Linked DNA regions of Saccharomyces cerevisiae S288C. The gene in region 3 interacts genetically with the main gene of each other region. Each region holds a gene or a part of one and is shown on either strand. Other genes may lie near its edges.

The links.
Region 1: mutations in TAX4 (region 3) and LAM6 together harm fitness more than expected from each alone (negative genetic interaction), as found in Saccharomyces cerevisiae (one large-scale study listed by BioGRID).
Region 2: mutations in TAX4 (region 3) and SRT1 together harm fitness more than expected from each alone (negative genetic interaction), as found in Saccharomyces cerevisiae (one large-scale study listed by BioGRID).
Region 4: mutations in TAX4 (region 3) and MRX10 together harm fitness more than expected from each alone (negative genetic interaction), as found in Saccharomyces cerevisiae (one large-scale study listed by BioGRID).

What each region holds. Positions count from the first base shown.
Region 1 is NC_001144.5:277,193-285,815, reverse strand, and holds LAM6 (Lam6p), read right to left. Parts: upstream 6,955-8,623; coding exon 4,873-6,954; downstream 1-4,872. Other genes in the region: BOS1 (Bos1p), read left to right, coding at 1-80; FMP25 (Fmp25p), read right to left, coding at 193-1,944; 60S ribosomal protein uL16 RPL10, read right to left, coding at 2,224-2,889; BUD20 (Bud20p), read left to right, coding at 3,360-3,860; RFU1 (Rfu1p), read left to right, coding at 4,195-4,797; RGR1 (Rgr1p), read left to right, coding at 7,190-8,623.
Region 2 is NC_001145.3:465,226-472,885, forward strand, and holds SRT1 (ditrans,polycis-polyprenyl diphosphate synthase), read right to left. Parts: upstream 4,252-7,660; coding exon 3,220-4,251; downstream 1-3,219. Other genes in the region: MYND-type zinc finger protein MUB1, read left to right, coding at 1,075-2,937; LAF1 (Laf1p), read right to left, coding at 4,623-7,127. UniProt on the Saccharomyces cerevisiae protein: With NUS1, forms the dehydrodolichyl diphosphate synthase (DDS) complex, an essential component of the dolichol monophosphate (Dol-P) biosynthetic machinery.
Region 3 is NC_001142.9:276,302-284,754, reverse strand, and holds TAX4 (Tax4p), read right to left. Parts: upstream 5,915-8,453; coding exon 4,100-5,914; downstream 1-4,099. Other genes in the region: ARP4 (Arp4p), read left to right, coding at 1-953; IML2 (Iml2p), read right to left, coding at 1,375-3,570; ALY2 (Aly2p), read left to right, coding at 6,753-8,453. UniProt on the Saccharomyces cerevisiae protein: With IRS4, acts as a positive regulator of INP51 activity and phosphatidylinositol 4,5-bisphosphate turnover. Negatively regulates signaling through the cell integrity pathway, including the MAP kinase SLT2.
Region 4 is NC_001136.10:1,018,639-1,026,308, reverse strand, and holds MRX10 (Mrx10p), read left to right. Parts: upstream 1-1,553; coding exon 1,554-2,798; downstream 2,799-7,670. Other genes in the region: serine/threonine-protein kinase GCN2, read left to right, coding at 1-1,239; PHM6 (Phm6p), read left to right, coding at 3,988-4,302; exosome non-catalytic core subunit RRP45, read right to left, coding at 4,645-5,562; RNH202 (Rnh202p), read right to left, coding at 5,889-6,941. UniProt on the Saccharomyces cerevisiae protein: Component of MIOREX complexes, large expressome-like assemblies of ribosomes with factors involved in all the steps of post-transcriptional gene expression.

The DNA.
Region 1 (8,623 bases), on a different chromosome or scaffold from region 3:
TCAAAGATAAACTAGTCTTTTGGATCGCGTTAATTCTCTTGATCATAGGTATTTATTATGTGTTGAAATGGTTAAGATAGAAGTAACCGTGAGTTCTATATATAAATAAACATACCATATATACATGCATCATTATAAGGGTTGAAAAAACATCGCGAATCTCGCTACTTTCCTTCTATGCTCTTTCGTTTCTCAAACCCGCCAGTATAAGCAACTTTTATTACCATTGGTGACTACACGTTGCTCCTTTTTTAAGTGTAATTTACTGTTATAAATTGAGTCCAAATCTGTCGTGTCTTGTCCTGGTTTGAGAACTTCGGGAATGTTCATTGGCTTAGCGCATTTCATAGTTTTCTTTCCAATACCTAGTTGGCCATGGTCGTTATTACCCCATGCAATGACCTCGTTTTCTTGTTCAGTTTCAGTGAACACACAATGAGAGCCGCAACTCCAGTTGGTCAATTTCTTGTCATCCGACTTGATTTTTATGGGATCACATTGCGAGTTCTTGAAAGTGTTGTTGCCCAATTCACCAAAAAGTCCATTACCAAACGCGAAATAATGATGGTCTGACGTTGAGCCAGGCTTACGAATGGTCACAAACGATGTTTCATCATCACAATGAATATCCACACATTTCCAATTCGTCATCCCCGGGAAATGCGGTTTAAATGCATGCGTTACCGATCTTGGGAAAGAAACATATTCTAGATTGTACGAAATAGGTAGTGCCAATTGGCCGAACCTATTCCAGCCAAAGGCATAAATTTCACCAGTCTTATCTATTGCCAGTGTATGGTACGACCCGCAAGCTATCTTTTTAATTTCTCTTTTGCGGACAACGTCTTCTCCTTCATGCTTAAATTTGTTCAGCAGTTCAATTTCGAATAGTTGATTATTGGGAGGAAACTCATCGAATTGTGAGAATGTTGGTATACCGAATTGTCCTTTGGATACTTGAGCTTGTTTTTGATCATTTCCCGTCGCGCAGCAATAAGCCTTACCTAAATTAGATAGCAACACCAGATGATGGCTACCAGCGTCAAATTGTACTACACGTTTTTCTCCTTCCTTACCGTTGAAAATCTGATTTGTTTGTAATTTCCAATCATATCTTAGTTTTGTCTTCCATGGCAACAATTTCGACCTTCTTGATGATACTTGCGAAGCTATCAGATCCGGCGTTCTTATAGGTATGACCAATATTTCACCCTTTTTATTCAAAGCGTACAAAAAGTGACTAGAATACTTCATTGAGGTCAAATCTTGATCTGGCAATATCGTTTTTGTTTGTCCCAAATCATCCCACGATATCAAATCGCCTTTCTCGTCAATTGCAAAATTGGTGTTGAAATCGTCAGAGGGAGCTAATAGGATATCTCTGAATTTACGACCATCCAAATTAGGTACTCTAACAGGGAACAATGAGTCCTTAGAATGACACCTTCCCCATATGTATACACCAGGATGATCTATTCCAAGTTGAAAGGCAGGCACTTGAGGAATCTCCCTTAATAGATTTTTGGCCTTTTGTCTGATCAATTTTTCCAACGAATCCTGTCCACTTTGCTCTTGCGTTGCATTTATGCGACCGCCATTCATCTTGATTAACCACCAGGATTTTAATTCTGGCCAACGCAAGTAGGCCGTTCCCAACCCACCCACTACCACGAGAATGAGGATCCCTTGCCCAACAGCAGATAATTTCGCCATCCTTTCCCATTGGAGTTCAGATTCCTTTGTGATCTGATCAGGAGACTTCTCAGGCCATTGGAAATGCTCGTCTGATGGCCTTTTCTTTGCTTTATATGCGCCATGGTTAATGTTCTCTGCAAACAACTCTGCTTCATCGTATTGAGGTTGTTTGGCGTATCGCCTGATGGGACTAACCCAGTTAAGGCGAGGGAGACGTTGAGAAGTCCTCGTGAATAATCTGAATGACATTAGCGGCGCACGTCCCTGTTATCGATTGCTCCCTTTCTTGTTAGACGCATTCAACAATTCTTCGTTACTGCAGCTCAGGCTTTTTTTTTTCCTGCTGGTATACAAAAAGCAACAGTGTCCATTGACTTCAGGATATATCACTACCCAACATGCTGAACTTTAAAAAAACACATAATTATATGTATTACAATAATGTATAAATATATTTACTGTTTAATAAACTAGAATTTAAATCAAAAAAATTTCTCTTTTAAGTTAGTTCAAATGTTTGAAAAGAACTTAAGCTTGAGCAGCAAAGTATTCTGGGAATTCTCTGATGTTGTTTTCCAAAGAACCCTTCTTGGACAAGAACTTAACGAAAGCACCGTCGTCCTTGACTTCACCAGCTTCTCTCTTCTTCAAGTATTCTGGTCTGTCCAAGTTGGTGAAACCCCACTTCTTAGACAAAATAATCTTTTGTTGACCTGGGAACTTGTATCTGGCTCTTCTCAAACCTTCAACGACAACATCCTTGTTGCTGTCCTTGGTTCTGACAGAGAAGATAATTTGACCAATGTCGACACGAGCGGCCAAACCGTGTGGCTTACCCCAAGCACCTCTCATACCTTGTTGCAATCTATCCGCACCGGCACAAGACAACATCTTGTTGATTCTCAAGACATGGAAAGGATGGACTCTGACTCTTAAGTGGAAAGCATCTCTACCGGAGACAGTAGTCATGTACTTGTTGGCACAGATACGAGCAGCTTCCAAAGCTTCAGAAGACAATTGTTCCAATTCGTTGGAAACCAAATGGACACACAATGGGAATTCATCGACGGTAGCCTTCTTCTTACCCAAATCGTAGATTCTGATCTTGGAGTCTGGAACAGCTCTGTTGTATCTAGACTTTGGGTAAGGCTTGTTCTTTTGGTATCTGTAACATCTAGCTGGTCTTCTAGCCATCTTGAATTAGTTATTTGATATACTGTACTTTAAAGTTTGAAAGTCCCACTCCAAAAGCACTTGCGGAAAGGATGTATAAATGGTTGCTCCACATCAACATCTTTTTATAAACTATTCTCTAGAGAAACCAAACTGACCATCAATTCTGAGATGAAAAGTTTCCTTAGTCAGCATTATTGTGCTAACTAGTTTCGGAGGGAAAAATATCGAAAAAAAAAAACCAAAAAAAAAAATAAAAAAAATGTACGGAGGGAAAAGATGTACAGGTGTAAAAAAGCACCCCACGGAAATAACCGCTACTATAATTTCATTTCTTTTTTTTCTATATCCTGCGGAAAATTTTTTTATACTGACAGGGGAAAAAGCAAATTAATTTTGCTTTTATATATGGAAAGTAGCGGGAGATGAGATGAGGTGAATTGAAAGGCAGTTAAACACACAGACAAGTGAAGATAAAACAATAGCGCATCATGGGTAGATATTCGGTGAAGAGATACAAGACTAAAAGAAGAACACGAGACTTGGACCTGATCTATAACGATTTGTCCACCAAGGAATCAGTACAGAAGCTTCTGAACCAGCCATTGGATGAAACCAAACCGGGCCTTGGTCAGCACTATTGCATACACTGTGCCAAATACATGGAGACTGCTATAGCGTTAAAAACGCATTTAAAGGGCAAAGTGCACAAAAGAAGAGTCAAGGAGTTGAGGGGTGTCCCTTACACACAAGAAGTCTCTGATGCTGCTGCGGGCTACAATTTGAACAAGTTCTTGAACCGTGTACAGGAGATCACGCAATCGGTGGGTCCGGAGAAGGAAAGTAATGAGGCCTTGCTGAAGGAGCATTTGGACAGTACCTTGGCAAACGTCAAAACAACAGAACCTACTCTACCGTGGGCGGCTGCTGATGCCGAGGCGAATACCGCTGCCGTAACAGAGGCAGAGTCTACTGCCTCAGCCAGTACTTAACAGTAAAGTAAAGATCAGAACCAAAAATAGGCATATACACTTTTTATAGTATAACACACTTCCAGTCAACTCGAATCGCTTTTGCCGCGAAACGCAATGAAAAAAAGTACGCAACAAAGAGAAATAATGAAAAAAAAAAGAAAAAATTTTTTCATTGCTAGGCGATGAGCATCGACAGTTTTATACGTAAATCAATGGTTAGATAGATAATATTAATAACATACAAGACAATTTTTGCTTCGATTAAAGTGTTGGCACGAATTATTGTTGCGGTTCACCAACCACTATACATTTTTTCTCTTCCTTCCGCATCTTTATCTGGCCCCGGTAGGTCATGAAGTCTAGTAAGCAATTGGTTCAGGACGCTAAGGATTATCGCTTCAATCCGGCGATACCATTGAGAATTTACCTGAAAACATGCATCGGCATATTGGAAAAGGCACAGTGTGCGTTCCAGGCCAACGACTTGTCGCTGTCGTTTATTTATTATTTTAGATATGTGGATTTATTGACTAACAAACTATCTAGACACCCTGAGCTTTTGCGCATGGATGCGTCGTCGTCATCGTCGTCATCGTATATTCATAAAAGAGAATACCTGCAACTCATAAAGTTGGAAGTGCCTGCGGTCTGCAAAATTATTGAAAGCTTACGCACCCAAATTGATTCTCAATACAGCAAATTGCAAACATCACTCGCTAATAATATAGCCAAGCCGAACATAAACGCAAACACAACTCCCGTGCAGGTGGAGCAACAACCACTGCCGAAGAAATCTTTCGACGAGTATAGCTTCAACCAATCAATTTCTTTTTTCCAGAAAATTTCAAACGCACAACTTAATACCGGAGCAAGCTCTCAGAGTCAGGCCACTGCCCGTGATGAAGCCTACAGACTGAATTATCCGGAGCTACCACGCCTTACATTCTCCACATAGCATCCTTTTTTTTTTTTTTTTTCCATACCATACGAACATACATAACCTTACATACAATATTACATGATTACTCTGTTACAACACGTCTCCCCTTCTTGGTCTTGACCATTGTACTTTGGCTGGTATGTCCAATAGAGTCGCGTGCGCTACAACTTCGTCCTTGTGGGTCATGAGGTTCGTCAGCTTATCCATCTTCTTGTTCAACTTCATTAAATACAGCAGATTTAACACCAAGAGCACCAAGATTATTATGTTCACCCAGTTAAACCTCCATCTGTCGCTGCCTATTTCTGAGATTTCCGCCTCAGCTTCTGGTTTCGACTCCGGCTGTACCATCGTCAGCTCCGGTGCTGCCACTTTCCTAGGTGATCCAAAAGATGTAACACTGGGCAACGGCTTGAGTGTATCTGCTTTTTCTTTGCTCAATTCCACGTATTTCTCTACAAATTCTTCGACTAACTTTACCAAGTCCTTAGTGGCGCTAATTTGTCCATTTTTACAATTGCTCTCTACCATTGGCTTGATCCAACTGGATGCGTTCCAGTCCACCCAAAAACTTATTTTTAATATGCAACCTTGCCCCTGGTCATCCCATCGGAACATGTACCTCGTTCTGGTGCTGAAACTGGTACCACTAGGAACATTTGGTGTTCTTGTTATACTTAAAACATTTATGTACCTTTCCCAGTCGCAGTGTAAAAGAATTTCCGCTACCTCACAGTTTGTGGATTTGGGCCCCACAGGGAAATGCAGCTGTTTGGTGTATTGGAATTCTCTGTAATGTTGTCCATCTTTATTGACTTTTTCAAAAGTCCCTATGTGTGAGATGTTGGACGAATCTTGAGTTTTCAAAAAGCTTAACTCAAAAACTGGATTATCTTCATTGAACATCATAATGAAAAGTAGGCCGGGTGGAACGCTGAATTGACGTTCCAGAAGCACGTATTCATTATTAGCCTCAGGTTTATAAGGAAAGTCCATGGTTTCTTGTACATGGAATGGCCCCTCATATTGAAATGGTGCGTTTGGCTTTAACCTATATACGGGCCTACAATAATAAGTTGTTGAAGAGCCTAAAGACGATGACGACGATGACGACGAAGATGAAGAAGATGGCGATGCTCTTGGTGTGCCCATGTAATCGTCCACGGACCTTATGGCCTCCTCGATGAGCATGTCGTTCTCGCTCATGTAGGAAGCCCTGCTTGTTGGTTCAGTAGTGGTTGTCGATATGAAATCGTTATATGCATTGGTAGAAACATTGTTGAATATGGAAGAAGGGGTCGATGATATTCCCTTTTTCTTGGAGACCCTCTCATCAACCTCCAAAACGTCATTGATATTGGTTAAGTTTTCCTTTGACCAAACTCTTGTAATCAATTGGAAAACCTCGTCTCTCGCTATGAATCCGGAAAAAGTGTACCTGTTAGTCACGGTTTCCACCGAAATAGCACTTGAATTTGTGGTGACCTTATCTAAATATTTAATTTCATTCAAGGGAATCTGTAACTTTGCCATCCAGTTCAACACGGTTGAGTTGAAACATAAATGTGTGTTGGAGAGATAGATTCTGCCCTGATAGGGGAATTCTCTGTGGAAGTAGCAGAAGTAGTCCGTAATAAGTCTCGTATTAGGAGCTAATGGCTTGAACATTTGGCGGAATTTTTTATTAGCCTCCTCGGATGCAAACTGGACCTCAATATTTTTGACTTCATTAGTAACCGTATCTTGTGAATTTGATTTTAGGGAAAACGTGCTCAGTACGGTGTCAAAAAATGATGATCTCGACGAACAGTTAGAAATAGACGGCCTCTTGGCATCTCCATCAACCCCATCACTGTCCCCATTCGTCGAAGTGGCCATGATAATATTATTTACAGACGTCAAAGCTGTCTCGCCACCGCCACGATGATTGTCCAAGATAGAATTAACATCAGACAAGTGCGGGTCTGCCGGCGACGATTTCAACCCATTCAATGGCACTGAACCATCCCTACCGGGCGAAATCAACATATGTTCGGTAGAAGACTTCTGAAAGCTCTTACCCTTAATAAATTTTCTGGCACCATCCATGCCACCTTCTTCCACCACCGGCTTCACTGCATTCAACTCATTATCCATAGCGTCACCAAGCTCGCGCATACTATCCCCCCACATTCTACAATTCAACGTACCATGCTCTCTTCATTGCGTTCAATTATTCTCTCTAGATGCCACTAAATTTAATTACTTTGTCCCGCTTATTGTTAACTAAACGATTGTCCCATCGCACGGTCGCTGGTTCAAGTAAAAACGGTGAATTTTTCAATTGTTTAGTAGAGGTCTGTTGTAAAGATCATCAGAAAAAGAGTTAAAAAGTGGCAGGAAAGTATAGGGTTTTCTTGGCTGGGCAATGACTACCACGATAGGATCCCCACAAATGCTGGCTAATGAGGAGAGACTTTCTAACGAGATGCACGCACTGAAGAACCGGTCCGAGCAGAATGGGCAAGAGCAACAGGGTCCCGTTAAGAACACTCAACTGCATGGCCCTTCTGCAACCGACCCGGAAACTACGGCCACCCAAAAAGAATCTCTAGAAATGGTACCGAAAGATACAAGTGCAGCGACTATGACAAGTGCGCCTCCGCCAGCGTTGCCGCATGTTGAGATTAATCAAGTCAGTCTGGCATTAGTAATAAGGAACTTGACGGTATTTACAATGAAGGAACTTGCTCAGTACATGAAAACTAATGTTCACACCCAGGCAAATGAGCCTAACTCCGCAAAGAAAATACGTTTCTTACAGCTGATTATATTCCTAAGGACACAATTTTTGAAACTTTACGTGCTTGTGAAATGGACCCGTACTATAAAACAAAACAACTTTCACGTACTAATCGATCTGTTGAACTGGTTTAGAACGACTAACATGAATGTCAACAATTGTATTTGGGCTTTGAAAAGCAGTCTAAACTCTATGACCAATGCTAAATTGCCCAACGTGGATTTGGTCACCGCTTTGGAAGTTTTGAGTCTTGGGAGGCCAAATCTACCTACACACAACTTTAAATTAAGCGGTGTCAGTAACTCTATGGATATGGTAGATGGAATGGCCAAAGTTCCCATTGGATTGATTTTACAGAGATTAAAAGATTTGAACTTGACTGTCTCAATAAAAATTGCATTAATGAACATTCCTAAACCATTAAACAGCTATCATATCAAAAACGGTAGAATCTACTTTACTGTCCCTAATGAATTTGAAATCCAGTTATCGACTGTTAATAGACAGTCCCCTCTGTTTTTTGTGGATTTAAAATTGTTGTTTAACACGGAAGCTGAACAAACTGTTTCAGCAGTTACAGAAGCTACTTCGACTAACGGCGATAGTGAGAACAATGAAGAAAACTCAAGTTCCAACGGAAATAACCTTCCTTTGAATAAGCCAAGATTAGAGAAGTTGATCAATGAAATTCTTTTGAAAAGTAATGATCCATTATTATCCCTATACAATTTTCTGCACAAATACGTGTTGACATTACAGCTATACATGGTTCATAGAGAGTTTTTAAAGCTGGCCAACGGCGGTAAATTTTCCAAAAGTAATTTGATCCATAACTATGACTCTAAAAAAAGTACAATTACAGTTAGATATTGGCTGAATGGGAAAATGGACAGTAAGGGTAAGATCACTATTGGCATTCAAAGAACAACAGAAAGTCTTATCTTAAAATGGGACAACCAGAGTGCATCAAGGGCCAAAAATATGCCTGTAATTTATAACAATATTGTATCTAATATCGAAGGGATTTTGGATGAAATTATGTTCAATCATGCTAGAATC
Region 2 (7,660 bases), on a different chromosome or scaffold from region 3:
ACTACATGGTTATGAAAGGCGCTGGCAGTAAAAGGGTTGTTTGTCAATGGCAAGAATTAATCATTCTCGCATTGAAATATATGTAGATCGAGGTGAACTGTTAGATGGTCCATCAGACATTTATTATTTTGACTTATGTATTTCCCTCTCAATTTTGTTATCAGTAATCGAGTCATGTGTACTTTAAAGTTCATATTCTCACGTTTTTCGCAAGATATTAGCCGCCAATAGCAACTCCGAATAATAAGAGCTATATAAAGGCCGTTGAAGCCCACGGAAAGAGAAAGAAAACTAATAGTTATTACAATATAGACCGTTGGTTTTTTCTTTCCCTCCTGGAGCAGCTGCGTATAGTTACTACCTAAGAAGTGGGCTAGAAGTTGGCTAGAAGTGGGCTACTTAATATATATCTTTGGATACATAGAAAGGAACCAGGAAAAAGGAAAATTATTTAGATGGCTTCCATAAGTTTATGATGGTTCAAACGGCAAAAAGCCTTTTGACTATTTTTCTTGGTTGAACTATCTTCTTATTAGGCCTACTACAACAATGCATCGAGCTAGGATAACAACTAGAATACTTTGGTTATGTATTGTATGGGTGTTCAGTGGCAAAATTTGAGAGTTGGGTTATTGATGGTCGGCCTATACAAACGAAAGACCTAGAGCAGCTCACAAGGAAGAAAGTGCTGGACAAACTTCCCTACCTGAAGAGAAAAATATCCGTTTTTTATATAGTTTCTGTAAGTGTGCACAGTGACTTCCTCATTAGAGCGATATAGATAATTTGAGACTTTATTTATTTTTTATTTTTGTTGGTTCTCATATTCAACCTTCCATTTATCTAAGTTGAACCATTAAACATTCCCTTTTTTACTTTGCTAATTTCATCATACCCATTGATCAACTATAAGTGAAACTTGGGAATCTTCCATTATACAAAGGTGAGGTCCCTATTTGTTGCATTTTTCAATTCATTTCCCTGGGAGTTTTTGTTTGTTTTTGCTATATTAACATATCATAACAGCGTATAGAACGTAATTTGAAATATTCAAAACAAAGAAAAGGTAAAGAAATGAGAGACTCTAATCATCGATCATTAACGTCGAACAAGCCTATAGTAACAATAACATCTACTGTCTATGACCGAAGGGCATTGGATATCAACTCTAGTATTCCGTTAATAAACTCCCTAAACTACTTAACATATCTAACCTCTAATTCATCAAAAGTTAGGGAAACGGTAGCTAACGACGGTGCTCTCGAAAGATTAGTCTCAATATTGAGGAGTTGTCATTTAAGTTTGTTTGAGTTGCTGGATTTGGATTTAGAAAATTTTAATGAGCACGAAAACATAAAGGATCTATGGAAGGAGAAAAGACTAGCACTATGCGCTTGGAAATGGACTTTAACATTTCAGTGCTTAGTATTGACAGGTACTAGAGGGACAGAACAAATTCGTAAAAAAGTGGTAATGTCTGGGGTCTTATCTGTGCTGGTCACAGTATTGGATAACTATTTACTATATCATAAAAATTACGACTTCATCAAAGATCAAACAATGACCTTTGACTTCAAAGGGATAACCACGGAGACAATGTATAAATTCATGAGAAAAGATGAGAATGAAACATATCAGCAGTATATAGAGTTCATTACAGGTCAGGATAAATTGAAGTTGTCAACTGACAAAAATTTTCTAAACGAACGATTAGTGGCACCGTCTATGACAATTCCAACTGATTTTAGTGATATATGGGGCCGGTTTGCAGACCTAGCTAGCAATTTTGAACCTGACCAGGAAAGACACGACGACGACATTGATATTGATAGTGAAGTAGAAAGTGAAAATTTTGATGCACATAAGAATTTCTTTTCGCAACCAGACATTAATAGACCTACAATTTCCACTCCACGTGAATTTTTTCTCGGAAGAATTGTCCCCAAACAAGACGACGTTATATGGTCGCTTCAGTTATTAGCTTTTGTTTCGAAGTATACATATATGAAATCAACCCTTCAAAATGTTGAGCTGGTTGAATCCCTATCGTTCAGAAGTATGGCTTACAAAATTAAACAGAGAATCTCAGAAGAGAATGACTTAGAAGAACAAGAAAGAGACGTAACTGTAAAATTGTCTTCATTATATCCTTATTTATCGAAAAATCCTGAAAACAATTCCAAAGTTAAGGCACTAGATACTAGCAAAATGGATCCATTTTTCAAAGAATTAGAAGAACTCTCAAACAGATGTCAACAAGAAGAACAAAATGAAATATGTAATAACCACTGTCCCGTTCTTAATTTGTTTGAGCGCTACCGTGTACCGAAACCTAGCGACGACAATGCCTATGGCAAAGACAAGGAAAGAATTAATTTAAGGAAGAAAATATCTGATAACTTTGAAAGGCGCTGGAGCTACGATAAAATGAAAAAGGAATTAACAAATATTGTTTACAAAAACAAGGTACTAACAAATGTTGTAAACATCTTCCCCTTAGTCGAAAAATATACAGTGAGCGCAGAAAATACACATGATGTTATATATTGGAGTTCTGTCATCATGAGAAATTCATGTCGAAAAAATGAGATCTTAGGTGTGCGTCAGTGTGCCAATTTTTCGTGCGGAAAATGGGAAGATTTTCCAAGACAATTTGCAAAATGTCGTCGATGCAAAAGAACGAAATATTGCTCACGAAAGTGTCAATTAAAAGCATGGGGATATCATAGGTATTGGTGTCACGAAGTTGGATCAAGTCATATGAGATCCACGAATACTACCACAGGTGTCAATACCCCAAATGAGCCTAGTTCTTTAAATGCCACCGCTACTACAGCAGCTGATGTTTCGAATTCTACCAGTACGTTCACTCCTAATATATCCACCACCGTACCTGATGAAATAAGCAATAGGGATGAAAATAGCATACCTGAGTAAAGTACAAGGGGATTTCGATGACCTAGGTTTAACAAGATCATGAAATATTCATTAACGGAGTTTTTTGTTTTCGCTTTTTTTATTTTTTGTTCCTAATTTTTTTTTTTTTTACATTTTATTAGCTATACACTTGGCGCAAGGATATTTTATATACCGGATATAATAGATAATTAAAAGACTACTAATTAAAAATGATGTAATATGGTAATAGGTATGGAAGAATCAGGGAGTTTTCAGAATGTTCTTTGCCCTCTCTTGGGCTTTCTAGTTTTGCACTTTTACTTATTCATCTCCTGTAACCGAAACTGAAATGGGGGGGTTTGGAAAGTTGTACAAAGACATAGCTGTTTTCTTTTTTTTAAATATTGAAGGAACGCTTTCATGTATTTTTTCAAACAATGAGTGATTCTTCTCATTATATTTTTGAATGGTGGAAAAGAAGGACCATTTGAGAATCATCAGGTACATAGCAAAGAAGCTAAAATTTGGCCACAACGTATCACTAAATTCAATGGTGGCATTTTCATGTACTTGCCATAGCATATAGTCTGAGAGCCTCCTATGCCCACTTGTTCTGATTAATAATTCACATTTATTGGAATGGAAACCCATGTACATTTTATTAGTAAATTTTCTTATATTAATCCTTGGTGATTTATTTTCCAAATGGTCTTCAACTGAATCACGAATAGTATGTAACATATCATTTCTTGAAGTGTAAGGAAAACATATAAATAAAGTGAAATCGTCTCCATCCTGTGTGATTTCTTCCACTTTTTTAATTTTTTTTCTCATTTCTGGAGATAGTAAAGATTGATCACCTACTATTCTTATTTTAGATCCGTATAAGGGATCCTTATAGTCCTTGGCTCTTTTTGCGAATTCATCAAGCTTTACCGTAAACAAATTCATTAGCGTATCTACTTCTTCTTTTGGTCTATTAAAATTTTCAATAGAAAATGCATAGGCGGAAACACATTTTACACCCAATCTTTTGCAGATATACAGTAGTGTTAGTAACGTTAACCCACCAGCTTCATGGCCTTTTTTTACTGGTAGCCTTCTTGACTTGGCATATCTCCGGTTACCATCCATGATAAAGGAGACATGTTCAGGCACTGGCCCTACCCTTAATGCTTTTATCAAAATATTCTGAAGATTTACATAAAACCATGAAAACAAGCTTAATGACATAACCCACGCAAATACTCTCTGAAATATACTTTTCACTGCGAAGCACATCTGTTCTTTGGTTTCTACCAAAAGCCTTTTTAGGGCTACAAACTGAATCTGAATAATACTGGGCATTTTCATTATGGTCAACAGAAACGTCCTATGTTTGAAAGGCAGCCTGTTCTTTATAAGTTGATAAATTGAGAAAAGTGCACCAAATCTTAATCTACTCTGTGTGTATTTTTAGGTCCCTTAAATAACAGAAAAAGTATAGCTTTAGCCGCCGAGGTCCACTCAGTTTGGAGTAGTTACCCTTAACAGGCACTCACTCCGTTTTGTTCTTTCGAAGAGATACGTTATAGTATATCGGCAACAAATGATAGGCTCATTGTTAGCGTTCATTAATTATTAGATTAAAATTTATTTAAGTGTATCGTGTTTCTTTACTTTATGTACGAAGATTAATATGCATTTAAAGGTATCATCCACGGAAAAAAAATACTCCATCAGCGTTAGCGGAAGTTATTAACTACTGTACCGCAGTCTACGCAATAATAGTTTCTATCTTGTTGGTCATTAGCACCAGAAAAAGCCTCAAACCTTGAACCGTTACAAACATTGCAACGGATAGGTAAATTCATTGCGCTCGTTGGAGTGGTAGGCCCATGTGCATTGGAGAAAATAGATGACATGCTTTCCCTTGGTGTTCTTGGCTGTGCATTACTGCCGAGTGTTTTTAGTGATGTACTGCTTTTGGGACATATATTAGAGTATCCACGTCCCGTTGCATAGCCTTTTCCAGTATTAGTATACGCCGCTGCCGGTTGGCCAGCCAAGTTTGATTTCGCTCTCGAGTTGAAGCTTCGACTCAAAGAATGCAAAGAATCAGAACTGTTAAACCTTCTCCGAACCTCTCTATTGTATTCTTCTAGTTTGAGTAACACGCGCTTTCTTATAACAGAGGGCATATCTGCTCTAAACACACGAATAGTCCCTACGTTATCAGTACTGATCAATATCGTTCCAATTGCGTCAACGACATCTGGGATAGCACTGGTGGCGGAAGCATTAGAAATTGAGCCTGGTTTAGAATTGTAGCCCAAAGACGACTCTACATCTGACATTATGCCATCGTCGTTACTCCGACTCAAAACATCGAAACTATCGGATGTCTGAAAAAACTCTAGAGATAGCTCGCAGATAACATCGTTAGACAAAGATAATGTTTTCGAAGTTTCTGGCGGTGCAATGCTAACACAAGTAACAGGGGCATTGTGTGCATGAAAAGAAATGTAATCCGTATTTTTGATATAATGATCGTTGCTATGATGAGGCAAGGGAAGTAAGTTAGTAAGTTTTAAATGATGATGTGGTTTTTCTTCGTTATTCTGGCTGGAAGACCTACTCATTGATTTACTAAATATGCTTCTCAAACTTCCGGACCGAGCCAATCCCTTTGGTTTCCTTTTAGGTTCGTCTTGATCATTCTCTCTATCCGAAGACTTTAACCTCCAGCCGTAAACCCAATGGTCATCACTACTATTTACAACGATTGGCTGACCATGCCAGATGGACAATTGTGCCTTGTGTTGGGAAGATCCGCTATGGAAGCCTTTCAATACCTCTAGAAGCTTCCTCTGTTCTAAGTCAAAAATTCTTATCCTCGAATCATTCGATGTAACTACTAAGCGGAAAGAATTGTCCAGTTGAGATCTAAAAGCTTGCAAACCCGTCACACGTGGACCATGACGAATTTTTGAGTCAGTTTCCGTGACCATGACGTGAGCGTTTTGTTCTTGTGTTTGTCTATCAGCTACGTGAAATGAAGAAACTGGAGTGAGACCTCTGGTCATCAGAATATGAACGTATCCATTAAATGTTCCTATTATAGTGTATTTTCCCTCCTCAGGGGATAATGTAACAGATGTTATTAAGTCTTGACAATCGTACTCAAAGCTAACTTCATCATCCAGTATAGACCATAACCTGCATTTGTGATCCAGACAGCCGCTAATGAAAAATCTATCGTCGGTGGGGTGAAATTCCACACAAGTGACAAAATCAGGATGTATGAATGTCTTAAGTGAATTTTTCCTATCGGGATGCCATAGTTTTACTGTCTTATCCATCGATGCTGACAAAATAAAATTATTTTTAGACCAATTTATATCCAGAACATCTTGCACGTGTTCTTTATACAGTCGCAAAGGCGTTGGGTGAAAGACAGGCGCATACAAATTCAATAATTTTTCCTTCTCTTCGTATTTCTCTGTAGCAGAATCCAAAAATTGTTTTTCTTTTGGATTGTTCAATGAACTGACCTGCTGTTTGATCCGCATCGACTTGGCTCGTGCCTCTTTATTTGATTCCGCACTCGAGTCCAATTCGGCTCTTTCAACTGGAGAGCCAATAACTTTCCATATTCTTATTTTACCATCTTTGCTACCAGTGGCCATAAATTTTCCATCGCGGCTAAACTTTGTACTCCATATAGCTTTAGAGGTTGGTTCAGATGATTTGGAAGTGGAGGTAACCGTTTCACCTTCGTAGGCCATTAGTTCTTGCGCGAGAAACAATCTTCTAAATTGTTTCAGGTTTTTCCGACGTTTCAACATTTTAATGTATTTTGGCTCTCTCAAATAGTTTTCAAATTGCTCTGTATCAATGGAATTGAAAGGGTAAAACTCATTGACCCTAAGATTCGAATTTAAAGTATTGCCTCTCTGTAAATGTTCCTTTAGTCTCATAAATGAATCAGTGGCGTTGCCGTTGTTACTATATTTTAATTTGTCATTTGTATTATTAGTTTTTGTCATTCTGAACTTCAATGGCTCGATATCTGCAGAATATTCAAGATTTAGTTTGCTTTTACTTTTACTTTCACCGGAACTGGACTCGCCGTCGAAGCTCTCTTGATGCGACCGACTCTCCTCTTCAGATCCAGTGGTATTCGAGGAATTGCTGAATTCAGAATGTACCTTGCTTATACTTGTTTTATCCTCCGCCATATTCGTCATATTTCTAATTCTCGTACTATATTATACGCCACTACCGTATACAATATGCCAAGAGCTCAGCAACTGCTTTCTATTCTTTTTCTTTGATTGTCTTTGTTCCTCTTTTCCCTCTTTCTTTTCCTCCTCTGTTTAACAAGTTGGAGAGAGTTGCAGTCTTGTTCCCTATACGGTCCAGCTGTGACTTGTACGAACGCGTATTGTATCCCAGGAAGAAATAATGATGTAACTCGCTTACGAAGCTTAAGAAAGGGCAAAAAAAATGTGTCCCCCCTAACTGCGAAAGTGAAAAAAAAAAAAATTAATGCGTTGAATTTACACAGTTCTATGTATAATTAACTGCTACGATAGAAACTGGACAGTAGTAAGAAAGATTGGACTAGGCATCACCCAGACTTTACTTTTTCGGCATACATATCTATTTATATATAGTTTAATACGTAAATACAAATATATATATACTGTAAATTTTAATCATTAAGCTTTTCTTTTTTTTTTGTTCACGCTTTCACCCTGTGAGGCGAATGAGGTTAGCT
Region 3 (8,453 bases):
GTATGACATTATCAAAGAGTACAAGAAGAAATTTTATTGCTGGGAAATTTATCAATCACTTGATTAAAAAGGCATTGGAACCCAAAGAAATCATACCACTTTTCGCAATCAAGCAAAGAAAACCAGAGTTTATAAAAAAAACATTCGACTATGAGGTTGATAAATCGCTGTATGATTACGCCAATAACCGAGGGTTCTTTCAAGAGTGCAAAGAAACACTTTGTCATATATGCCCAACAAAAACTTTGGAAGAAACGAAAACAGAATTAAGTTCTACGGCTAAAAGATCTATTGAAAGTCCTTGGAATGAGGAGATTGTTTTTGACAACGAAACTCGTTACGGCTTTGCTGAAGAGCTTTTCCTTCCAAAAGAAGATGACATCCCAGCAAATTGGCCTCGCTCGAACTCTGGAGTTGTGAAAACTTGGCGGAATGATTACGTGCCGCTAAAAAGAACCAAGCCAAGCGGAGTGAACAAATCAGACAAGAAAGTTACACCAACTGAAGAAAAGGAACAGGAAGCTGTAAGCAAATCTACTTCTCCGGCTGCAAATAGTGCAGACACTCCAAATGAAACCGGTAAGAGACCGTTAGAAGAAGAAAAGCCTCCTAAAGAAAATAATGAATTGATTGGTCTAGCGGATCTTGTTTATTCGTCTATAATGAGCAGTGATGTGGATCTAAGAGCGACACTAGCTCATAATGTTGTCCTTACAGGCGGTACATCCTCTATTCCTGGATTAAGTGATAGGTTAATGACAGAACTAAACAAAATACTACCATCCCTTAAATTTAGAATATTAACAACAGGGCACACTATCGAAAGGCAATACCAGTCATGGCTTGGCGGTAGTATACTTACAAGTCTGGGAACATTTCACCAACTGTGGGTTGGGAAAAAGGAATACGAAGAGGTGGGCGTCGAAAGATTGCTTAACGATAGGTTTAGATAGGAATAGAAAACGTTGTTGAATGACAAGTCGCCTTTCAGTTTAGCAGTTTGAGCGACCATTCATCTACTCGATCAATATCTCAGTGATAAATAAATTGTCTTGATTCTACTATAACCCTTTTGTAAAATAAAAAAAATTTCTACGATGGACCGGTTTTGTTTCCTAGGGAGTAATGAACTTGGCCTATAACTAAGAAGGAGGTTCAAAAATTTAAATATGTTCATTTTTAAAATCATAACACTATATATATCGACACCGTAGAACTAACTACTCGGGAAACCCATTGCGTAAAAATATAAAAAAACTATGAAACGTCACGAAAAAATGATGGTTGTAATAACTGCTAGCAAGGGAAGGTAAGTAGTCGAAAGAAAAAAAAAAATGCATACTTCTAAAATGTTGGGGCGGAAGAAGCAAAAGGTTAAGCAAGCGCGTTTTCAACTCTATCAAGGGCGGCTTTGATCTTCATACCGATACGCGTACTCAATTCGTAATCGGCGGCATAATTTTGGGCTCTTAGCAGCCATTCCCTACATTCATTCAAACTTTCCATGCCACCCAGTTTCCAACAGAATAAAGCTCTCTCATAAAGAGCGGCTGGATATGCCCATGGGTCTTCGGTTTTTTTGAAATATTTGACTTTGCCATTTTGAATGTAGAATATTTTTGGCAGAACAATGTCATCTAACAAGGCTAAACCTCTTTCAGCATCCCCCAATCTTCTTAAGGTCAAGGATAGTAGTAAGTTTCTGATCAGCTCTTGATCTGGGTCTTCCGAATCAATGGCGGGGTTGTGATACTCTGTCAACATCTTTTTGGTCAAAATTAAATCGTTTTCAGTCATCCTGTTGTAACCGTTGTAGAAATAAGCCAGTTCATGGACAGGTGATGTTGCTATTGAGTCTAGTGGTTCTTGTAGGTTTAATTTCTTCTGCATATTATTAAATTGTTGAACTTTTCTAAGCATGAATCTATCCAATGGAAGATTTTTGGATTTGAACGTTTTCTTACCTAACAAAGATGGAGCGTCAAATATGAGTTCTCGAGCCCGCTCTTTATAGAATTGTTCTTTACCGTCATTTAATAAGCCTAATTGTGTCATCCTCCAATTTTCCAAGTAACAGCAACCCGCAAAATAAGTGTACAATGCGTGAGACCAATCACTAATATCAAGCAAACTTATTAAATCATCGGCAGCTCTGTTGTATTCGTGTAAGTTGACTAAAAGGATCGCACGTTCAAACACCATCAACGATTTCACTTGTCTCATACGGATACTATTGACATCAATAGAGTCCATTAGGGCCAGAGAATCACGAAGCCTGCCCTTTCCAGCAAGCATTTTGGCCTCATTTAGCAGCCACAGGGCACTATTAGGAAAAAGTGCTCTTGCTTTTAGTAATGCGTCCTCCAGAATTTTTCCAGGATGCAATAAGGTTGCACTGTCCATATAACCTGGTAAAAGGCTACTATCGTTTGTTCTGCTTTTGTTTAAAGCCCTCGATCCATTATCGTTTGGTGGTATATCAAAGTCAGCATCTGTAAATTGGAAAGGACCGTCGTAATAAAACATCAGACCTAACAAACCTATACACCCGTGAACATTTCTCTCCTTTGTAGCCTTCCAAACTAGCCTCAAACCTTCTTCACGGGATCCCTTGAATCCAACAATAGATAGCACAGCACCGATTGCAGGTGGAAGTAAGGATAAGACGACTTGCAAGATACCATAGCATAAATTAGCACCTGAATGGATGAATTCGTCGATGGTAGCCTGTTCTAAATCGAAATCATCTGAAACAGAATGGCGGTCGGAAGCTTGAGACGGAGTCGTCTGTAAACCCAAATCATCCCTTAACCTATGAAAAGATGGAGTATTGCCAATATGGGCACCTGATAACCTTCCCATTCTCATCGTGTAGATTTTTTCAGCAAATTCCAATAGGAGTGGATTGGACTTGTCCTCGGAAGACAATTTGTATGGTATATCAACCGATATGAAAGTTGTCTCTGCAGAAACAAAACTTCCGCATGACTCTTGGCTCTTTTCGCTTGGAGAGGGAGAGCTCGAATTTTTCGATCGTTCAGCTTTTTTGACAGTAACCATGATATCTTGTAACATTGTATAAGCCCTCCTTAACTTTAGCAAAGCCTTGGCTGCTTCCATCATGCTTTCACTAAATAACATCAACAAGGCATGCAACAGACATGACTCAGTATATGTTACAGCATAGACAGTACCGGGAGGATATATTGAACTGCTCCTAAAATTGGTCTTTTCAGCATTTTGCTTACTTTTCCAGGACATTTGCTCAGCTTTGCCTAAAGTAATTGCAGCTCTTTTCATTTCTTCAGTTTCAAAACTCAAAGTGGCTTGAAGAAATTCAATAACACCTCTTGCCAAAGTCAAGATAGTTTGATCTGAACCAGTTTCCATTTCAGCTTTTTTCAGCAAATTCAACCCTTCATCCGTTCTATCATCAAGGACAAAATCCATTGCCTTTAAGGCGATCTCAAAGTCATTAGCCTGCTTCAGAACCTGTTTTGTCTTTGTTGATTGCTCTTCACCAGAAGATTGATTACCCTTTGATCCAAATGAACCAAATACTCTAAACATCTTCTACTATCTTTCGTTTTGGCGCACTGTTTGCCCTTCCTCCTATTATGTTCTATTTCTTTCTATCAGGTAATTCCTATACCGGTAACAAGACGCTTATATATACAATTCGCTATATATACTGATAGAAATATGCAAAAGGAAGAATGAGTGAAAAGAGCATTGGAAAATAAATTTAGTAATACAAAGGTGGGGAGAATATGAATTAAATAATCCGAGGGACGAAATTAGAAAATAGCCCAAGATAGGGGGTGGGGGTACCGCTGGAAAGACAAAGACTATAAGCATGAAATGAAAAACGACCATTATGCTCGAGAGATCTGGAGACAAATAAAGCAAAAGGTCCGACGAACAAAATCCGCGGAACGGAAAAACTTCTAAAAGTGAAGGAAAATTGAGAAAAAAAAAAAAAAAGATAATATTTTCATTTCTTTCATTCGTCCTTTCGTTGTATACATAAGGGTCATTGTTAACTCATCGTCATTCATTATTAACACAGGAAGAGAACTTCTGCAAATAATGCCAGGCATCATATTCTGACATTTCTGAGATCGCGTTTGATGTTTTTCAATTCCTGTCGGACTGAAAGCTTTGATGGCTTATCTAGAGGGTTATTAGCGTTGTGATAGTGATCGGAAGTGGCAGGCTTCACGTTAATTGTACCGAGAACATAGCCGTCAACGCTATTCCAAACTCTCTGGTCCAGCTCATTCGTTAGCTTTCGGCCATAGAGACATTGATCAACCAGCCACATGCCCACTATAAACGATTTTCTGTCTAAGGTACCGTCTTTTCTTGTGTCGACCATATTGTATATTTGCACTAGAAGATCCCTGGGTAGGTTTGATCGATACCATATATCTTTTACGACTAAGTTAAGCATCAGGCCGTCTTGCGGTAAATTTAAGGGCTGTAAGTGAGACTCGTCGTCTTCATTCGCGAGAGAGGGCCACCACGGCAGCAAGCGCAAATACGAGTATCTGTTTGATACCCACATAGACTCGTATCTTTTTCTTTCTTGTTCGGTAATAAACCCGAGATCTCTATGAGATTTCCACGGTTTATCTTCATTGAATTTGTGAGAACTTGTATGATGGTGCGTGTGTAAGTGATGAGAATTCGGGTTATGGAGCTGATGGTGATGATGATGGTGATGAGGGAACGGAAGGACAGAGGTACTACTCCCAACTACAGCTGCTGTTGTTTTCAACCCCTTCTTTATCTTAGAGCGACGACTTTTCTTCTTCTTGTCCTTGATTTCCATCACATTAGAATCTTCATCTGTGTCTGAGTCTGATGATACAGACTTTCTGTCGTAGGGAAAAGTTTCATCATTGTCTGTAATTGCGTACTTCCCGCGCCTCATAGTTGTCTTTAACTTTACATTTTGCTGCGTGTTTATGATTGCCCTACCATTCTGCGTTTGGTCCGAATACACACGTGATAAGTTTTCTTGCTGCTGCTCAGGTGATCGTAAAAGCCTGTGCTTGAACCTGGGTTTACTTGTCTTCCTTTGGCTTCGCGGTATTAGGTCGGGTAAAGTGCCTTTATATATTATATTTCCTCCATTGAGTTTATTCATTGCCGTATAGTCTGACTCTTGCTGCCGCTGTGAGGGGTCCGTTAGAGAAGCCTTTGCTGAGGCTTTGGACGCAAGACTATAAGAAGACATGGAAGGTTCAGGAGGAAATGCCTCATCGGTGCTTTTTTCTCTATAAGAAGTTTCTTCTCCATCGGAACTTATGGAACACGATGATGACAGCGAGGTAGAGTAGGATACTTGTGGCGAAATAGATCGTGAACGAACATTATTATCATATGACGGCGGAGGTATCCTCATTCTGTTCAATTGCAGCTCATTTTTCAAGGCTGAAGGAGCACGTGGCGGTTTTGTTTCAGTATCCATAACTGGATCCCGGCTGCCGACACCGGATGATCTGTTACTAAATGAATTTGTGTGGGCTAGGTATGCAGCTGTCTCTGCAGCTGCTATACTACTTGGCGAATTTGACGCTTTATTCCTTACATCATAATGGATTGTCTGCAGAGGAGTCGTCGGTACGGAAAAGGCTTCAGAATGGCCTGGAAGCGTTTCCCTAGAGTATTGATGATTTATACTTCTCGGTTCCGGTTGTCTCATCCTCGGCAAAGAAGGCTCAGATTTCACGACAGGCGCAGATTCCACCTTTAGATGTCTCGGCCTCTCTGCGCTACCGGCATTGCCATTGGGGTGGGCATATCTCTTGAAAGTAATCTGAGCAGCAGTTAAAGAATCTTGGAGAGCTTCCTTCGGCAATTCCACCACGGAGAGATTTCCGGAATGCTTTTTTTTGGGGAAATGCATTTATACAAACGTCAGGGCGTGTATTCTCCGGCACTAAATCGACTCTTCCTTGTATAGGCCATCCCGCACTCTTCATCAATTACTAAAAAGGAACCAAATACGTCACTTTATAACCAATTTATTGATGTCGAACGGAGAGCAACTCCCTTGCGCCATCTATCGCGCGCCGTCCCAAAAAGAAAAAAAGCAAAAAAAACATAATTTGAAGAAGGTTCTCTCAGCGGCTAACCTTTCTTCATTCTCAATTATAACAATAATGATACAAATACTGGCCCTGATCAATAGTTTGTCATGACAGCCGTTAAGACCAAACCATATTGCTGTAGTTCATCTCATCCCACTGTTTCATTCATCACCCAAAAATTCATCGCTCCTTTCCCCAATACATATAACACCTTTTTCCTTTTTTAAATTAGTGACGCCTCTGTGAGAGGGTTCAGTACCCATTCCTCCATGGCAACAACTCTCATTTCTCAACGCCTTCACCTATCACTCTTCACTGTCATTTCTTTTTGCTTTGTTATTCTGCTAAATGTCTTTCATTGGTTTTCCTTTATTAAAACATTCTCTGGAGGATTTGCAGTTTCGGAAAAAAGAAATTTAATCCGATATGGTCCAATTTGGGAAAAAAAAAAGACTTGGCTAGTTCTCCTTTTCGTCTTTTAAGAATAGGTACTAATTACGCTACAAGCAGTCTGTGAGTATTGAGAGAGACTAAAAAGGGCAAATTAGTCTGTAGACTTCGCTATTCATTACCGTTAGTCCTTTATTTTTTTAACGTTGAAACATCTTTTTTTTTTTTCCAGCCTTTCTCATTGTAGATCAGTCATTTTTCAAGATGCCCATGGACCAATCTATCTCATCTCCATTGTTTCCCATGGAAAAGGATATTGATATCCCCCTCGATGCTACACCCTTGGCACAAAGTTCATCATTACAGCTTTTTATTCATTTAGCTGAACCAGTTGTTTTCCTCCAAGGCTTTGACCCTCAGAAGACGGAATATCCCTCGGTTGTTCTTCGGGGCTGTCTAGTGGTAAGAATACTGAAACCCACAAAGCTGAAAAGCATAAGTCTTTCGTTCAAAGGATATTCTAGAACTGAATGGCCTGAAGGTATCCCTCCTAAAAGACAAGAATTCGTGGAAATCAAAGATATTGTAGACCATACATGGGCTCTATATCCGCCAACTGAACAGAAGAGCAAGAAAAAGATGGATGCTTCCGCACCTAATGAGAGCAACAATGCAGCTAATAATTTTTTGACGAAGGAAAGTGGTGCCTCTCTTTATAGAACACTGTCTGATAATGAAACTATAACAAGCAGAAAAAATTCTATATCAGGTTTGTCCTCGTTGAACTTGTCACCTCTAGGTGCACCTGGAAATTCCTCTGTCAACGTAAAAGACAGAGAAAGTAGACAAAGATCTAGATCTTCGTCAGTCACTTCTTCCAATGGACCATCAAGAAACCTATCCCCGATAAATTTATTGAAGAGAGCCACGTCTCCTTCCGTGTCTCACCACAACTATAAACCTACGACCACTTCCATCTTTTCCGACTTGTTGAATAACACCTTTACCCATAATGATGCAGCATCGCATCATGGTCATCATATCCCCACCAGTAGCAATCATCTGGCAATGACAAGCAACAACTTCACCAGCGGGTCTGGAGGAGAATTTTTTGTCTTTCAACCAGGCGACTATATTTATGCTTTCGAAGAACTAATTCCTCAAGCATACCCAGAATCTATTAAAGCTGATTTCGGATTTGTGGAATACTTCTTATTTGCCAGTATAGAGAGACCTGGTGCCTTTAAATCAAACATTAGCGCCCGGCAAGTGGTTAATATCGTACGGACACAGGCTCATAATTCTGTGGAAGAAAGTGAGCCGATTATCATATCTAGAGATTGGGAAAACCAATTATATTATGATATCGTTATAGCATCAAAGGATATTATTTTAGATGCTTTTCTGCCTATCACGTTCAAATTCGCTCCCCTCGATAAAGTTACGTTGCATAGAATAAGAATTTATGTGACAGAGACAATGGAGTATTATTGTAGAGAAAAGAAGGTTCATAGGATGGAGCCCACCAAGAAATTTTTATTGACAGAACAGAAAGGTCCTAAATTACCGAACTTGCCCAATGATGCAAATTTGTCAAAGGCCAAGAATATGGGGAACCTGTTGCAGGATCCAAAGAATGGTGATTTAGTGAATAAAGAGTATGAGTACCAGATTTTTATTCCGAGTCGTTTCAACAACCATCAGCAATTGCATCCAGATACTTCTTATGAAAACATCAAAGCAAACCATTGGATTAAAATTTGCCTGAGACTGTCTAGAGTAGTAGATAATAAAAGGAAACATTACGAAATTAGTATTGACTCGCCAATACATGTTTTACATAGATTGTGCTCGCATGCAAATACCCTTTTACCGAGCTATGATGGACATCCTGCTTCTTTTCCAAAAGAAACAGATTCCTCAATTTCCTCAATATTGGAATCGTCTGATGACAATATAAATCTA
Region 4 (7,670 bases), on a different chromosome or scaffold from region 3:
GCCAAAAAACGCCTGTATAAATTGATGATTGATAGTCCGCATCTAAAAAAAATTGAGGACTCTTTGTCCCATATATCAAAGGTTCTCAGTTACCTAAAACCCTTAGAAGTTGCAAGAAATGTTGTGATATCTCCTTTGAGTAACTACAATAGCGCTTTTTACAAAGGAGGTATCATGTTTCATGCAGTTTATGACGATGGATCCTCACGTAATATGATAGCTGCTGGAGGGAGGTATGACACTTTGATATCCTTTTTTGCCAGACCATCAGGAAAAAAGAGCAGCAATACTCGTAAGGCTGTAGGTTTCAACTTAGCGTGGGAAACAATATTCGGTATAGCCCAAAACTATTTCAAACTCGCTTCTGGAAATAGGATAAAGAAGAGAAATAGGTTTTTGAAAGATACAGCTGTTGATTGGAAGCCAAGCAGGTGTGATGTATTGATATCGAGTTTTTCGAACTCTTTGTTGGACACAATCGGGGTTACAATACTGAATACATTGTGGAAGCAAAACATTAAAGCGGATATGTTAAGGGATTGTTCCTCGGTGGATGATGTCGTTACTGGCGCTCAACAGGATGGTATAGACTGGATTTTGCTGATTAAGCAACAAGCGTATCCACTAACCAATCACAAGAGAAAGTACAAGCCATTAAAAATAAAAAAATTGAGCACTAATGTTGACATAGATTTAGATCTTGATGAGTTTTTAACCTTGTACCAACAAGAAACTGGTAATAAATCTTTGATCAACGATAGTCTCACTTTGGGCGATAAGGCTGATGAATTTAAAAGATGGGATGAAAACAGCAGTGCCGGTAGTAGTCAAGAAGGTGACATAGATGATGTTGTTGCTGGTTCGACTAATAATCAAAAGGTAATTTATGTTCCAAACATGGCTACAAGATCTAAGAAAGCTAATAAAAGGGAAAAGTGGGTTTATGAGGATGCAGCCAGAAATTCTTCGAATATGATATTACACAATTTATCCAATGCACCAATTATCACTGTTGATGCCTTAAGAGATGAAACTTTAGAAATAATCTCAATTACTTCTTTGGCTCAGAAGGAAGAATGGCTGAGAAAAGTTTTTGGGTCAGGTAATAACTCGACTCCTAGAAGCTTTGCCACGAGCATTTATAATAACCTCTCCAAAGAGGCTCATAAAGGGAATAGGTGGGCAATATTATACTGCCACAAAACCGGAAAATCATCTGTTATCGATTTACAGAGGTAGGCCTTTAAAGATCTGTGCGGCGCTATAACGCATCAGTTAAAGGTAAAGTATATACAATGTCTTAGATACTATATTTAGGCTAGCTGATTCATCTAATTCACCGTTGTAAAGGGGGTAGGTCACCTTTCTTATACATATTCCTGATACTAAAGACAAATGTAGGTTTAATGAGATGGTCTACTTCTTCTCTCCTTTCTCTACTTTCCATTTTGTATTTAATTTTTCGGTGAATATAAATGTGTGCGTATGTTGTGTGAGGCTCCTCTAGCTCCTACGGGAGACATTTAATAAATGATCATAATATGGCGTGAAGAATGCTTTCATTCAGAAGTTTGACTAGCACATTCGGTTTCGTATCACGATTCCAAATTAGACGGTTAGGAACTAGTTTATCAATACAGAATTTAGAAGTGCAAGATGGCCGTTGGAAAGGTAAACTAGCTACAGAGAAGAAGACCAATAGGGAACACAAGTCAGTGGATACGAATATCAAGACAATGAAGATGCTTAAAAACCCGAAGAATTCTACTCGCTATTTGAGACGAAGTTTTGTGCCAAACCACAGAAAGCAGGAGAATGGACGTGATATTCTGGAGGATTCTTTAAGTAAAGATCACTTAAAAGTGAAGAGTTGTATCACCATTACCACCGGAGAGGGTTATGATCTCAAAAGATGCATGAAATTGCTTACTATGCAAGGATTACAACCGACAAATTTGATACCTGATGAAATCGTGTCATTTAGTTATCAGGATAATGGCAATAAAGGTGACGTAATGATTTTAGGTCAAAATGGATCTATTGTAAGCTGGGGCTTCAGTGAATCTAGTGTTCGAAACTGCATAGTGCCTATAGTTAAAGCAGCGAGTTTAAATCCACTGAACGGAGAAGACTTTGAGACTGAGGACATGGATTATGTGGAAATAGAAGGGGAACAAGATTTTGATAAGCTTTCCAGTTTGGATAATAAGGTAACACCGAGAATTGCATGCGAAAGCTTTCTTTCTGGAGATTTGATAATAATTAACTCCTTGGATTCTGATCAAGGAATGCTAGATAAGGCGGCATTCTCAAGTGGGCTATCGAGAAGCACCAACTTGGCAGTCCTAGAAGAAGCAATGGAAAAACATATATCAAAGACCAGAACAATAACAGAAAATATTTCTAAGGGAACAAAGTTAAATCTAAGGTCAAGTGATGCATTAAAGTCAATAGGCCGCCTTTTTCTAATTAGAGGAAAGTTGAACCTCTATTCAGAACTAATTGAGACCCCTGATCTTTATTGGAGTGAACCTCAATTGGAAGAGATTTTTAAAAATGTTTCGAGGTATTTGGACATAGGCCCAAGAATAAATATTCTGAACAGCAAGCTGGACTATTCTACGGACGAGTGTCGAGCCCTCATCTCTCTTTTAAACGAGAGAAACAGCACTTTTTTGGAATGGATAATTATATACCTGATTGCTTTCGAACTGTGCTTTGAAATTTATCATTTCTACCAGAAATATTCTTCCTACTGCTCAGAACCCACGAATGATGATCTAGATGCTACAAAGTAAGAGATTTTTTTGTAAATAAGAGTTACTTTTGTATGTTGTATTACGGGCTCGAGTAATACCGGAGTGTCTTGACAATCCTGATATAAACAGTCTTAGGGAAGTAACCAGTTGTCAAAACGGTTTATCAGATTAATTCACGGAATGTTACTTATCTTATGTATTATATAAAATATGAATCATACTAAGTGGTGGAAGCGCGGAATCTCGGATCTAAACTGATTGTTCAAGCATTTATACGTTTGGGTAGTTCAGCTAGGGAAGGCCGTGTTTTATCTCATGTTGTTCGTTTTGTTATAAGGTTGTTTCATATGTGTTTTATGAACGTTTAGGATGACGTATTGTCATACTGACATATCTCATTTTGAGATACAACATTGTATATACACAGAACAATGAGAAAAAGTTCCACTCAGTAATTAATATTCTTTTACCCAACGTTTCCTTATAACGTTGTTATTGAAAAAGGGATATTATATGAATCCACGCACCTGATCTGGCTCTTAGAAGCGACTAAATAACTACATATGTAAGAGATCTGCTCCTGCCACAAGAGAAAGCGTTTTTTAGCGATAAAATCAAGATTTCTCATTTCCTAATTGCTTATGACGGACGACCTTCATTATTAGAACGTGCAAATGTGCATTAGCGTGTAATGATACATACGCAAATTACAATAAAAAATAAACATGTAAATAAATGAGCCCACTTAAAATAATATGACATATATTAGTTTGCACTGTCATGAAAACCCTGATAACGTGGTGTCATTTTTATTACACCCGTATATTCATCAGCCCGTCCTAACCTATCCGAACGACGCAGGATGGCCACTAACATCGCAAATAGTGTTATTACTTTTTCCATTTGGATGTTCTGCCCTATAATGTTACGCAGTTCCGAGCTTCGCTGACACGTGGGAGGTGGGATATAATATTTGCACGGGTTCTTTTTTGTGTCGTCTGGCGGAAAAAAATAGACTCGTCTCTTGTATGGCGCGCTAGTAATTTATTATTTGCGATGCGCAGAACCTTATCTTTTGTTTTCTATTCAGTATAAAACTTGAACGATTTCACCAGATGTTTGTACACTTTGATTCATTGCAGCCCAAATAGAATTTTTGTCAACTGCCATACCAAACTTGTTGAACTAAAAAAAAACGACAGCAATTGTTTTTCAACCTGACACCAAGATGGAAGATACCTCGAGGTGCATCGATGATGTACTGAAAATAGGACAACAGGAGAAGGAAATAAGACAGGCAGAGTTTTCTGACGCACAAGGGGAGAGAGAGGAGGTTAAGTGTATTGATTACACAGTAGATTTGGAAGCAGGTCTTCCGCGCCACGAGAGTAGTGGAAAAAGTAATACCCTCAAACAGTGTTATAACGCCGTTCTAGGGTTTCTCGAGGAACTCATCATCGTCATTATTATTGTGTTGCTGTTGTACAGTTTGACAATGGTAGGTCTTTTTTATGTGATGACGATGACGAAGTTTTTGTTTTAATAATAAGAATAATGGGATTTGTTTTCTTTCAAGATTTTTCTTTTGGATAGTACATGCCTTCAGAAATTAAGCAGGGAGGCAAAAGATAATATTTTCTCATATGCATTTATAGCCGAGCCTTTTTTCTTCGCAGTATGCGTTTGTTTTATAGTAATTTAATGATTTTTATGTTTTTGAACACCGCAGTCAAGAAAACAGTAGGAAAAAAACTGCGGGCGTCTTTCATACTGCCTTTAGTAGTAAGTGTAATTTTACAATCTATACGTACCGATATATATACATATATTAATGCATGCATGTATATGTATAAGCGTTGCTTTTATTTCAGTTTTTTCGTTAATATTAGATCTCGCGGGCATTTTCAGATGTAAGCATGGCTGCATACTTGTTTCTCTTTTCTGAATCCTCCTTTAAAAGCTGCAGTATTTGATCAGTTATTTTCTCAATAATGCTGTAAGCCTCGTGACAACATTTCATTAGCGTCAACGCATCCATTGGTAAACCACCCGCTTTGGAAACTTGTACCACTTCACGGTTTTTGTTTAGCGTAACCGTCAATACACCATCTCGCAGTAGTTCCTCTTTCAATGTTGCATCAATGATGGAAATTTCTGAGTTAGTCTCACCTTTTATGTTTTCCTCGGTGTCTTGAGGATTGAAGAAAGAAAAAGTTACACATATTGGAATATGCAGTATACCTAGTGGAACTGGCTCTCTTTCATTAACAGGATGAACAATGATCTGCTCGCCATGGACAGTTATATCTGGTTTCTTAAAATGCATCAATCCTGCCATGACGGCAATACACGAAGCGTCAATAAATCCACCATCACAATCCAGGAAATGTACATCAGCTCTCACAGCCCAGCATTTACTGCCAGCAACGATACATAGTCCTTCCACGTCCAATGCGCCCGACCGCCTAACAGATTTTTCAATTATTCTTGAACATAAAACTTCATCTTCCCCCGTGATATTTCCATTTTCAAATTGAGAACCAGCCATAGGAGATATTTCTGTAGATATTACAAATAATCCTTCAAATGGCCTGTCTTCGTATGGTTGTGCTATTTGACAACTAATCCTGCAGTGAACTTTGGTGTTGCCCATTTTTACGCTAACATCACCAAATTCTTTACCAAACGTTATTTCCACGTCACGAAATTGATCAAAGGAGCGGCCGTCCAACCTATAATTCTGTCTCAGTGCTTCTAAGATAAATTTTGACTCGGATGCGGATATCTCAATGTCTTTGGCCATTTGTCTTTTAATCTAATGTATATTCTGAACAATTTTGCAATCACTACGTCCTGTTGATTAATGTATCGAGACTGAAAGTTAGGAAGTTAGAAAAAAAACTTGAAAGTTGGTAAGGTAAATACAATCTAGCAACCGTTTCCTATTCCTTTATATTCAGACATTTGTTAACATCATCGAGGGAAAAGTTGTTAATTTTTTCTTGAATTCGAGAAAGGAAAAAAAAGGTAGCCCATTCGTTGGTAGTGACAATATTGTGTAATTATCTCGCACTGAGGTCATCACCACCGAGTTATAGCATTCAAATTGCTGTTTAATTATGATACTAGCTACTTACGTTTAAAAAATCCATCAATGGCCCCTTTTCCTATGGCTACTTTTGGTTTTTTATTTTGAACTATTTTTTTGGTAACTTTTTTCACTGGCAATGAAACCCTGCCATTCGAATTTAGGCCTACATTCATGGCACTTTTCATCAGTAATTCTCTTTCAGCATTCTGTAATTCGTTCGTAGTCTCGTAGTTTTCGAGTTCTATGAAGCTAGCTTTTATATCCGGATTTAGGCAACCACTATCCATTGTAGGTGAAAAGGTAAGTAAATTATGGTAGGCCGCCCTTGGAATCAGGGAAACTAAAAGATTTGTAGCCATAACTACCTTGTAGCACTGTTTTATTTCCGTTGGGGCATTTTTAAGTGTAGGGATACTTGGAGGAAAGTTTTCTACAATTTTTGATACCTTGCCTAACAAAAATTGTGTTATCATTGCAGATGTGATCTTGTAATAGACGTCACCAGCTTCCTCAATGGTTTCACTAACTTTTGCTAAGCCACTCTTGAGACGACTTAAAGAAATGTTTTCCCAATTCTTGTCATGGTTATCCGTTAAGAAATCATGGTAATCACGCACCGTAAGAAATTTCTCATTGGTTTTGCTGTTGCTTTTTTGGTTTTCACCAGTATCACTTGAATTGGAGTAATCTTGTTCATCTGCTGAAACACTGTTTCTATAGTAAAATCCAATCAAACTAAAAGCAATATCGTATAAAGAACAAAAGTGTATTTTGCTTGAGTTAAAAACATAACCATCGGTGGGATCAGACGTATTTACAATGAAAGTTGATTTGATCGGGTGATTTTCCTTAGTATAGTGATATTTATCATTTGCCAAATCTTCCTCATGTGAATACGAGGGCCCTTTGCCGAATTGAAAAGATCTTATTTCGTAAAGTTTTCCATTAATATTTTCGAAGAGCTCGATACGAGGTTTGGATGTAATATTGGAAGGTGGCGGCAGTGTAAAAGTGTTTATAGTTTTCGAAGTTTCATAATCGTCTGGTAAAATTATTAGTCGTTCTTCCCCCCCAATGTTGGAAACGGTCATGCTTTTTGTTCGAGAGGCCAGAAAAGAAAGTCAACTATTGCGACAGAATAAGATTAAATTTGTACTCGATTTGTTTCTGCTGTTGTACCAGAATCATTAACCAGATCTGACTTTAATTCTCATCGCGCTCGTGCTTTTGACAAACTTGTGAGAATGGAGTCTGTAGTGCCTTAAAAGGAAAAAAACGCGTTGTGGTTATGAATATGAGATTTCATAATCCAACTATGGCATCGACAACATTGAAAAGATAATGAGCTGGAAGTTGCTCCATTTTTTACCTTTTGAAATTTCTTCTTATATGTATATGCTCACTTTACTGACTAGTAAAATGTCGTGAAAATTTTTAGAGTTCCATTTTGGCTCAAGACAATGGCGCTACGAAGAAACGCCATACTTAAATTCCCCTCATGAACTTAGAAATTCACGAAAGAAGCTGAATCTTTACAGAATAAATTTGTAGAAGAATTTTTCTGTTCTTTTATGCTTTATTCGTTGCTGCTGTTGATAATCAGCGATAGCTGAATTTATTGAATAGAGAGGCCGGGAAACTTCGTGCTACTGTAGAACTGAGATATAGAATACATCACAACTGGATGTATTAGACAAGTTTAATTTACTAGGAAAAAAAAGCTCAGAAACTTACAATTCTAATTAATGACTAGAATTTCATATATGAATCCTAATTCAACGTGAAATTGGTGGACTTTTCAACTTGTCACACTCAAGTAG